Linked DNA regions of Arabidopsis thaliana. The protein of the gene in region 1 interacts with the protein of each later gene in a pairwise test. Each region holds a gene or a part of one and is shown in the gene's direction. Other genes may lie near its edges.

Region 1 (5,270 bases):
TGAGTCTGAGGATGATGAAGGGTTTGTTGGAAATGTTGATTTTGAGAGCTTTGAAGATGTGAAAGACAGTATCATCATCAAAGAAGTTGCTGGAAGCAGTGATAATCTTTTTCCTTCAGAGACTACTGTAATGCAAAAGGAGAGTGTTTCAACGAGTAATAATGGTTATCAGGTGCAAAATGTGACGGTTCAAAGTCAGAAGAACGTCAAAAGCTCTATTTTAAGTGGGGGCTCCTCCATTGCTAGTCCTGCATCTGGAAATAGTTCCTTGCTTGTTTCTAAGAAAGTAAGTAAGAAGAAGAAAATGCGGTGTGATCTTCCACCAAAATCTGTGACAACAATAGATGAGATGAATCGGATATTAGCAAGGCACCGTAGAACTTCACGAGCAATGGTATGTGTGCAGCTGTCATTTCTATTTTCTTTTCACCTGTGGAACTTTAGTTATGATGCAATTAAGAGATATACTACTTCCAATGTAGCGACCGCGTTGGTCTTCGAGGAGAGATGAGGAGATATTGACTGCAAGGAAGGAGATAGAGAATGCTCCGGTTGCAAAACTTGAACGGGAGCTCTACCCTCCAATATTCCGTAATGTTTCCCTGTTTAAAAGGTAAAAGTGCAGAACTTAGAGCTAATTCTGAATTAAATTTGCTGGTAATGAAAAAGAGTAATGGTATATACACGAATTGATGAATCCTCAGTAGTATCATTAGTCCTATGTGGATGAAACTTTAGCACTACTCCTACTGTAAAATCCGCATCATATGGTCCTATGTTGAGATAATTTTCTGTTCGGAACTTAGTACTGTGAAGAGAGTAAAAAGAAAAAGAAAGCCTGAGTTCATATTATATGTTTAGTTCACAAATTCGTTCTGTTTGGTAGTGTCTTCTTATAAAAGGTAATCTTGACATATCCGATTCAGTTATGTGCCTCAGGAGTTACGAACTTATGGAACGGATACTCAAAGTTTACGTATATAAGGAAGGGAACCGCCCCATCTTTCATACTCCGATACTCAAGGGATTGTATGCATCAGAGGGATGGTTCATGAAGTTGATGGAAGGAAACAAGCAGTACACTGTAAAGGACCCAAGAAAGGCTCACTTGTACTATATGCCATTTAGTGCACGGATGCTAGAATACACACTTTATGTGCGTAATTCTCACAACCGCACTAACCTACGCCAGTTTCTTAAGGAATATACGGAGCACATCAGTTCCAAGTACCCTTTCTTCAATAGAACCGATGGAGCCGATCATTTTCTTGTTGCTTGTCATGATTGGGTAGGCATCTGTTTCATTTTTTAAAGTTAACTAATCATTTTTTCTATAGGTAACAATTTTCTATGTTGAATTTGGCTTCACTAACAGGCACCATATGAGACTAGGCACCACATGGAGCATTGCATTAAAGCTTTATGCAATGCAGACGTAACCGCAGGCTTTAAGATTGGAAGAGACATCTCACTCCCTGAAACATATGTCAGAGCCGCCAAAAATCCGCTTCGTGATTTGGGTGGAAAACCGCCGTCTCAGAGGCGGACCCTGGCTTTCTATGCTGGAAGCATGCACGGTTACTTACGTCAGATTCTGCTACAGCATTGGAAAGACAAAGACCCGGACATGAAAATCTTCGGGCGAATGCCATTTGGTGTGGCGAGCAAGATGAATTACATCGAGCAGATGAAAAGCAGCAAGTACTGCATTTGTCCTAAAGGGTACGAAGTCAACAGCCCGAGGGTGGTTGAATCGATTTTCTATGAGTGTGTCCCTGTGATCATCTCCGACAACTTTGTGCCACCTTTCTTCGAGGTTCTTGATTGGAGTGCGTTCTCGGTCATTGTTGCGGAGAAAGACATCCCGAGGTTGAAAGATATCTTGTTATCAATACCAGAAGACAAATACGTGAAGATGCAAATGGCGGTGAGAAAGGCGCAAAGGCACTTTCTGTGGCATGCTAAACCTGAGAAATATGATCTGTTTCATATGGTTTTGCATTCTATTTGGTATAACAGAGTGTTCCAAGCAAAGCGTAGATGATGTTACTATGGAGTGCTGATGGTGAAAGTTTAGACCCAATGTGCTTGTTTGTTGTGTGAGTAATGAATAGCTACAAAGTTGACTCTACCTTTGTAAATATTGACTCATAATTTTGTTCTAATTCGACTTGATGTTGGGCCTATTCATAGGTTTTCAGGCCCACCATAACAACCCTACAGGCAACAATGTTACAAGTGTGCCTGAAACGTTGACGTTTAAGTTTAAGAGAACTTCGCTTTAGAGTTTAGACCAGTTCCCCACAAAGCTCGTTGTCGTCATCGCGCGAGCTTGAACCAAAAAAACCATGAACAGTGAGAAGGAAGACGAGCCATTGGAAGAGATCGGCGATTCGAATAATGTTCTCGATCTCACTAGCTATCAGCTCCACAGTCTCGATACGGTCGAGTTACCGCCGAACCTGATTGAGCTGGACCTTACGGCGAACCGTTTGTCGGGATTGGACTCGAGGATCGCTCAGCTCTCCACGCTTAAGAAGCTTTCTCTCCGCCAAAACCTAATTGATGATTCCGCCGTCGAACCGTTGTCTCACTGGGACGCCTTGTCCGATCTCGAGGTGATTCTCGACTCTCTGATTTATCTTTTGAGTGATTTTGTAAATGGTGAAATATCTAGGCATCTGATTTTGTTTTTGGCCGTGGAACGTTATGATTTTGGCTAATTGCCTTTTGCATTTCACTTTTGATTTTCACTAGAATTGAAAATTGGCATTGATAGTCTGAGAGGCATAGTTATTTGTGGGCAGTGGATAAAGAAGAGTGTTTCTTGCTATAATTTATGCAGGAGTTAGTTCTCAGAGATAACAAGCTAGCGAAAGTACCAGATGTCAGCATATTCACGAAGCTTTTGGTTTACGACATATCTTTCAATGAAATCACTTCTTTGGAAGGAATATCCAAGGCCTCTAGCACACTGAAGGAACTCTATGTGTCTAAAAATGAAGTTAACAAGATTATGGAGATTGAACACTTACACAACTTGCAGATTCTTGAACTGGGGTCTAATAGATTGCGGGTTTGTCCCTCCCTCCTCTTTGATATTTTTTTATTCTCTTTACAGTGCTTCAGCAATGAATTTGAAAGCATTGAGGTTTCAGGTGATGGAAAATCTGGAAAACTTCACAAAATTAGAAGAACTATGGCTCGGAAGAAACCGTATCAAAGTTGTTAACCTGTGTGGGCTCAAATGCATAAAAAAGATTAGCTTGCAGAGCAATCGATTGACCTCTATGAAAGGATTTGAGGTGTGCTTCATTTACCTTTCTGCAGATATACTCATTCCTCATGCCAGCATTTTTATTTCTTCTGATGCTTGAAATATTATGTACCCAGGAATGTGTTGCTCTTGAAGAGTTATATTTGAGCCATAATGGTATCTCCAAAATGGAAGGCTTGAGTGCATTGGTCAACCTACGGGTATTGGACGTGTCGAACAACAAGCTTACTTCAGTTGATGACATTCAGAACCTCACAAAGTATTTCACCTTTCCCTTGCTTCAGACCGATTTTTGTCTTTTGGTGATTTATTTTCTCCATCCTGACTTTAACTTAACCTATAGGTTGGAAGATTTGTGGCTTAATGACAACCAGATAGAATCACTGGAAGCAATCACAGAAGCTGTTACAGGATCTAAAGAGAAGCTTACCACTATCTACCTCGAAAATAACCCTTGTGTAAGTTTAATCATAATCTTTAGTCACTTTTCATCAAAGTCTTGTCACTCAGTATCGTAGGATCTCCTATCTTTGGTTTTGCTTTTGCTTTTTGATATGGAATGTCAATTTAATGGTACACAGAGTGATCCCATTGCTGGTCTTGTTCAATGTGCATCGTAATTTAGATTATTTTTTTTCCGTATATATTGATAATGCATAAGAAACCTTGGGTTTTTCTATAAAGTTTCTTATGCATTTAAGTAAACTTGAGTACCACAACTTGGTTGTAGTTTTTTGCATAAGTCAATTCATTTATTTGGGTGAGTCCCAGTGTCTTCTATAAATTATCAATTTCTTTGGCTCAGAAGATGTGAAAAGTAATTATTTTACTGAGAGCCATTAAACGTTATCTAATATAAGTGTATCATTTTCTGTTGTCCATCTCCTCTCAGGCCAAGTCTTCTGATTATGTTGCTGCGGTCAGACAAATCTTCCCGAATGTGGAGCAAATTGATTCTAACTTATTTGCTTAGAGATGGATATATTCCTTGTCGTGCTGTTTGTATGAATGTCTGCTTCCTCATCCCATGGGCATGGGCATCGAATTTAGGAAATCAGGTACAACACGGATTCCTCAAAATATACATGTGTCTGCTGTTTATCATAAAGAAGTGCAAATGAGCAAATTAAATCGCTCTCGTCATGGATATTTATTAAAACGTTTTTGAAATTCTAGTGTTCCCTTGCAAGTAAACCAATTCTTGTTTTTGGTCTGTAATAGTATGTGGACTGTGTCTGTAAAAGGGAATCCCCGAGTCTGAAGTTGTCTTTGTTTCAAGTTTCAACCGAGAACACTAACTTGAATACTTTGATCCATATTTTTGACTTTGCCCCTTGCTTTTTTATCTTTATAGTTTCATGTGATTGTTCAGTATTGAAAGGTTGCTATATTACATATTTTACTACTTTTTGGTAACTTGTTACAAGTTTTGGGCTTCTAATCTTTCTTTCCGACAGAAGTACTTTTTGTTAATGAACTGAAGAAATTTGCTGTATAAAAGAAGGTACAAGAGTGGTATAAAAGAAAAAGAAAAAAGTCATTTCACCAATACAGATCTGCACTTCTGCAATCACATTCTCTAGAGAGTTAGCCGCAAAGTATCACCTTAAATTATCTTACGTACCAAAATATTAATGGAAGTAGTCTATGTTTATACTAAACCGATTTGAACCGAAAATGTTTATAATAATGGTGGTATTTTGAATTGAGGTTTTGGTTGACCTGATATTTCATCGGTTTGGAAAGTCAACTTCTCTTTTATAGTCGCTCACCGGTTTGATTTGATTGATATTTACATCACGCAAGAAAACCGGATATAGCTTAAGATGACTTGTAGCGAATGAACACATGACATGTGTTAATTCCACGAAGGCTGGGTCAGTCGTTTGTTTACTAGTTACCGCAGCTCAAACATGTAATTCCCGTGAGAGATTGTTTTGCCGGAGATAGTAGTTTTCGCGTCTCCAAAAACCCTTCGACCTTTGCCGGAGAT
Region 2 (5,000 bases), 3.2 Mb from region 1:
ACTTTTTATAAATTTAAATATTAATAATGTTTTATGAATTTTAAATCTATAAATAATAATAATTAAAAAATTAATATTTTTTGCCTTTTAGGTAATGATATAATAACTCTAAAAGCAAGAATTTAGAAGATTTAAATCTTTAATTAAATATTTTCATGCCTAAATAATTAATATCAGTAGCATGACATTGTAAATAAGTTCAAATACATGATTTGTTTATTTAAACAAAAAACGTTTAGTAAGAACAATATTTATTTAAACAAAAAACTTTGTTTAAAAATATTGTTAACAAAATACTTTTTATGCTAATTTTAAGTGATTGATGTGAAGTTTGTTTGGATTAAATTTGATTGATAATGTGATTGACAATTTAAATTAAGAATTTAAAGTAAAATTAATTATTTTGAAAAAAAGATTTAATGCTAATGACATAGGATTGTAAATAAGTCCAACTCCAAGATTTATTTATTAAAATGGCTGCAAAAATGTATATATAGATATGTGACATAAAATTTTATTTGATGAAAGTAATTTTTTCGTAAAAAATACTAGCGAACACAGTTTCTCAGTGGATCATAAATTTCAAGAACAAAATAGTGAAATACATATGATCTTAATTGTACTTCACTTAAATATTTTACGACTTTCAAACATGTGATATACATACAATAATTAAACAATAATTAAATTCTGCATAAGATATTTGAAGCCAACTGTTGAAGTGGATTAAGAGATATGAAATAATAAAGGCTATAGCACATGCATTGTTGTAACTACACAATTACGCAAAAGTTCTATCATCGAAATTTGAATCTTAGTAATATCTTAATTAGCAAAGAGCATAAATTCTTTTGTTCTTTTTTTTTTTATCCAATTTTTTTTTTCTTACATTTAACCTTTTTTTTTTTACATATTTCACACAATTTGAGTGAGAGGGATAAATCTATTTTAATGTTAACATTTATATGATTTTGAGTTCAAATTTGAATTGCTAATTATCTAACCGTTTTTATTAAATTTATTTTCCTGGAAAAATAAAAATCTTGACCAAAAATCTGTAAAAATAATTTAATAATATTTATGTTGGATTACAAAAAAATAAATATGATTACTATGCTTATATTAAAAATACATAGGAAAAAGAGGTAAGGCACATATATTTGAAAAACAAATCTTAGAAAAAATTATATTGTTATATATATATTCAAGTATATATGAAAATCATTTTCACAAAATGTAAGAAAATAACCATATATCAGTAACGAAAAAATAAAGATGGGAGTTCCATTTGTTTATTTTGTGGAAATTAGAATTGTTTACTTTTGAAACTTTATCAACAAATCTAGAAAATGTTTTGTAGCCATCGAAATCTTTACTATTAGAATTTGAAGTACAAAAATGATATATATAAAAAAGATTGAGACGTATGAATTATCAATACACTTAATCTTACCATCATGTGTACCAATTGAACCTTTAATAAACATAGTTACCTATGACAAAAATGGATTGAAATCCTTACTTACTTCCAAACCTACAAAAATAACACACTGTAGTATTAGATTACCATTCTTTTTCTATACTATGAATCTATGATGCAACTTTTTACTTCTCCATTGTAGAATCTTCTTGACCCCAAATGTGTACATCATCCCACTTCTGAAAATTTAAAAATTATACCATATAAAAGATTGGAAAAACTCATTACATGCTGAGAATTGTGAGCACAAAATGAGGTAAAAATTTAAGAATGTTAATTGGTTTGTGTGTGGTGATATCTTAATGTGTATATAACAAAAATATATTTACTATTTATAATGAAACAAAATGTAATGTATTAATTTTGTAGTTTTCTAGAAGTTCATGTTTGGTCTTCAAGGTTTGTGCATCTCACTTGTAAAAAAAAACCATAAACATAAATTAGGAGTAATTATAAAATTAATGGCCCACTTCAATTTATTTCTATTAATTGACCTAATAAATTATGTGTTGACCTTCTTCTAATACTAAACGTTTCCCCACTTGGAAAAAATAAATTTCAATTATACAAAACAGTAATAAGTAAGATTAATGTATACATATATGAGATTTATACTATTAAAATTTAACAAAATAAAATGAAATGCCAAGTGGACCAATAAAAAATATATGATTGGGTGTATTTGCACTTATATAAATCAATGTAGATTTCTGAAATACTTTCAAAAGTTTTGGATTTCTTATTAAATTTCCCCATTTTATAATTTATTCTTTCGGATTTGTTCTTTTCTTATCTCTTCCATTTTGATAACTTTCCTCCTCTGAATTTTTAAGACAAAATAGATTTCTTCTTCTCTTTGTTTGACCCACATTTTCTCTGGAAAAAATTCGTCTACTTTCTCCGATCGTCTCTTCATTGATCGGAAAACCAACAACGACCCATTATTCCTCTCCTGTTTCTGGCGCAAACCCTTGTAGCAAGTTTTGATTTTGGTGAGAAAATATTTTAGGGATCTGAAGAGAAAGAACACGATGATGACGAGTATGGAAGGGATGGTGGAGAAAGGAGTATTGGATGATATTATAAGAAGATTGTTAGAAGGTAAAGGAGGCAAACAGGTTCAGCTTTCCGAGAGCGAGATTCGTCAACTCTGCTTTAACGCTCGTCAAATCTTCCTCTCTCAACCTAATCTCCTTGATCTCCATGCCCCAATTCGCATCTGCGGTAAATTCTCATGATCGAATCATTAATTAGGGTGAAATTTGAAAAACTAGGGTTTCTTATGAATTTGAGCATTTTGGGGGTGAAATTGCAAAGTTAGGGTTTTTTTTATTTATGAATTTGAGCATTTGGGTATTGAAAGTTATGTTGTGGATTCTCTCAGGTGATATTCATGGTCAATATCAAGATCTTTTGAGGTTGTTTGAATACGGAGGTTATCCTCCTTCAGCAAACTATCTATTCCTTGGTGATTACGTTGACAGAGGCAAACAAAGTCTTGAGACCATATGTTTGCTTCTTGCTTACAAGATACGGTACCCATCGAAGATATATCTGTTGAGAGGGAACCATGAGGATGCTAAGATCAACAGGATTTACGGGTTTTATGACGAGTGCAAACGGAGATTCAATGTACGACTCTGGAAGGTGTTTACTGATTGCTTCAACTGTTTACCTGTAGCTGCACTTATTGATGAGAAGATACTGTGTATGCACGGTGGTTTGTCACCAGATTTGGATAATTTGAATCAGATTCGAGAGATTCAAAGGCCTATTGAGATTCCAGACAGTGGTCTTCTTTGTGATTTACTTTGGTCAGATCCTGATCAGAAGATTGAAGGTTGGGCTGATAGTGATCGAGGTATCTCTTGCACTTTTGGAGCTGATAAAGTCGCTGAGTTCTTGGATAAGAATGATCTTGACCTCATTTGCCGAGGCCATCAGGTAAAACAAACAAGACCTCCTCGAAACCTGTGAAATTGTTCTTGATGGTTTGATTAGCGTTTGTCCATAAAGCTAGAGACTTTTTGAATTCTTACCATATCGGACATGTGTAATGGTTTTGTGATGCAGGTAGTAGAAGACGGGTATGAGTTTTTCGCAAAACGGAGATTAGTCACGATATTCTCAGCTCCAAACTATGGTGGGGAGTTTGACAACGCTGGTGCGTTATTAAGCGTTGACGAGTCTCTTGTATGTTCCTTTGAGATTATGAAACCAGCCCCAGCTTCAAGCAGTCATCCTCTCAAGAAGGTTAGTTTCTACCAAAGATATATAGATTTAAGCCCATCTTATAACACAATTCTTCTGTAAGAACAAACTGAAACTTGAAACCTTCTGAAAAACCTTATAGGACTTTCACAACAGAACCTTAGGTTATAATTTGAGTGCTTAGCATGGACTTCAAAGTGTACAATCTTAAGCAGTGGGAGCACTATTGCAATTTGGTTAGGCCACAAAGAGTTAACGCTCCTTATGTTTCCGCACACGATAACACCTATTTTCTCTACATTTCTCTTTATCAGGTACCGAAGATGGGGAAGTCTTGAATATCTAGTCCTCTCTATGTCAATATCACGGTTCCACAGCTCAAGCTAGGCTCAAGATTCTGAGTGTCATTACAACTGTGTCTGTGTCTCCAATTATGGGTTGAATGCAATGAAGAACCCAAAGGGTACTTACTTAGTCATCAAACAACTTCTGTAAAAAAACAAAAAAAGTGAGAAAACAAAAACACACTTTGTTTTCTTTGTATAGATGCAGAAAATGATCTGTCTTCTGCTTCTGGAGATTTTATCTCCTTATTAGTCTCTCTTTTCTTTCTTCTTTTAGCCCTTTTAGTTTAATATAGTACCACTTAGATTTTTTTTTCTCGGTTATTTTTTTCCTTGTTGTACAAACCCTTTTGCATATCGTCAAGATTCCACATTTTCTTCATTTGTCCATTGCCAAAGTTATATTTTACTTGTCCCTAATTTTATCAGTATAAAAAGACAGAACAGTACAACACACTTCTTGTCGCATTTGGCAAAATTTCACATGAGACAAGCCTTTACTATTGATAACAGTTAAATTCATGGCTTTTACAAACTACTGTAAAATATTCATTCCATAAGCTTAATCAGAGCTTGTTCTTCTATTTATAGCTGCACTGTATGAATCCCCGTTCCCGTTCCCTCTCAATCTTCTAGCGGTCCTCTGAATCGCAGCTAGTCGCTGCTTCTGATTACGGTTATTAGATTGCCTGTAGTACCTAAAGCAAGTGTTAGTATGGTGTTGTTACTTGGAGGTTACTTAAAGAGAGAAGAGAGAAAGGTGAGACCTGATCAAGAACATTCCTGCTATAAGAAACGACATTCCCAAAGAAATTTTCTGAATCGTTGTCATTTCGCGAACCCATTGGAGAAGATCTTTAAAACATGACAAAGTCTCAGTTTTTAAAGGCGTCTCCTTTCGAGAGTCTCTTGACCATGATTCCACTACTGATTCTAGACTTGCTTTGCTTCCGTAGCACGGTTTT

The links.
Region 2: the proteins of AT5G19680 (region 1) and TOPP8 interact in a two-hybrid assay, tested with the Arabidopsis thaliana proteins (one large-scale study listed by BioGRID).

Annotation. Positions count from the first base shown.
Region 1 is NC_003076.8:6,647,315-6,652,584, forward strand, and holds AT5G19680 (Leucine-rich repeat (LRR) family protein), read left to right. Parts: upstream 1-2,259; 5' UTR 2,260-2,348; coding exon 2,349-2,618; intron 2,619-2,845; coding exon 2,846-3,076; intron 3,077-3,158; coding exon 3,159-3,305; intron 3,306-3,393; coding exon 3,394-3,536; intron 3,537-3,620; coding exon 3,621-3,735; intron 3,736-4,169; coding exon 4,170-4,250; 3' UTR 4,251-4,732; downstream 4,733-5,270. Other genes in the region: AT5G19670 (Exostosin family protein), read left to right, coding at 1-394, 483-613, 940-1,288, 1,376-2,044; AT5G19675 (uncharacterized protein), read right to left, coding at 1,762-1,881, 1,910-2,002. UniProt on the Arabidopsis thaliana protein: Inhibitor of protein-phosphatase 1 (PP1). Binds to and inhibits PP1 activity.
Region 2 is NC_003076.8:9,862,340-9,867,339, reverse strand, and holds TOPP8 (Calcineurin-like metallo-phosphoesterase superfamily protein), read left to right. Parts: upstream 1-2,216; 5' UTR 2,217-2,511; coding exon 2,512-2,704; intron 2,705-2,864; coding exon 2,865-3,424; intron 3,425-3,553; coding exon 3,554-3,793; 3' UTR 3,794-3,833; coding exon of another isoform or gene 3,834-3,875; 3' UTR 3,876-3,927; exon of another isoform or gene 3,928-4,005; coding exon of another isoform or gene 4,006-4,029; 3' UTR 4,030-4,417; downstream 4,418-5,000. Other genes in the region: AT5G27830 (folate receptor family protein), read right to left, coding at 4,598-4,733, 4,803-5,000. UniProt on the Arabidopsis thaliana protein: Serine/threonine-protein phosphatase that possesses phosphatase activity toward para-nitrophenyl phosphate (pNPP) in vitro.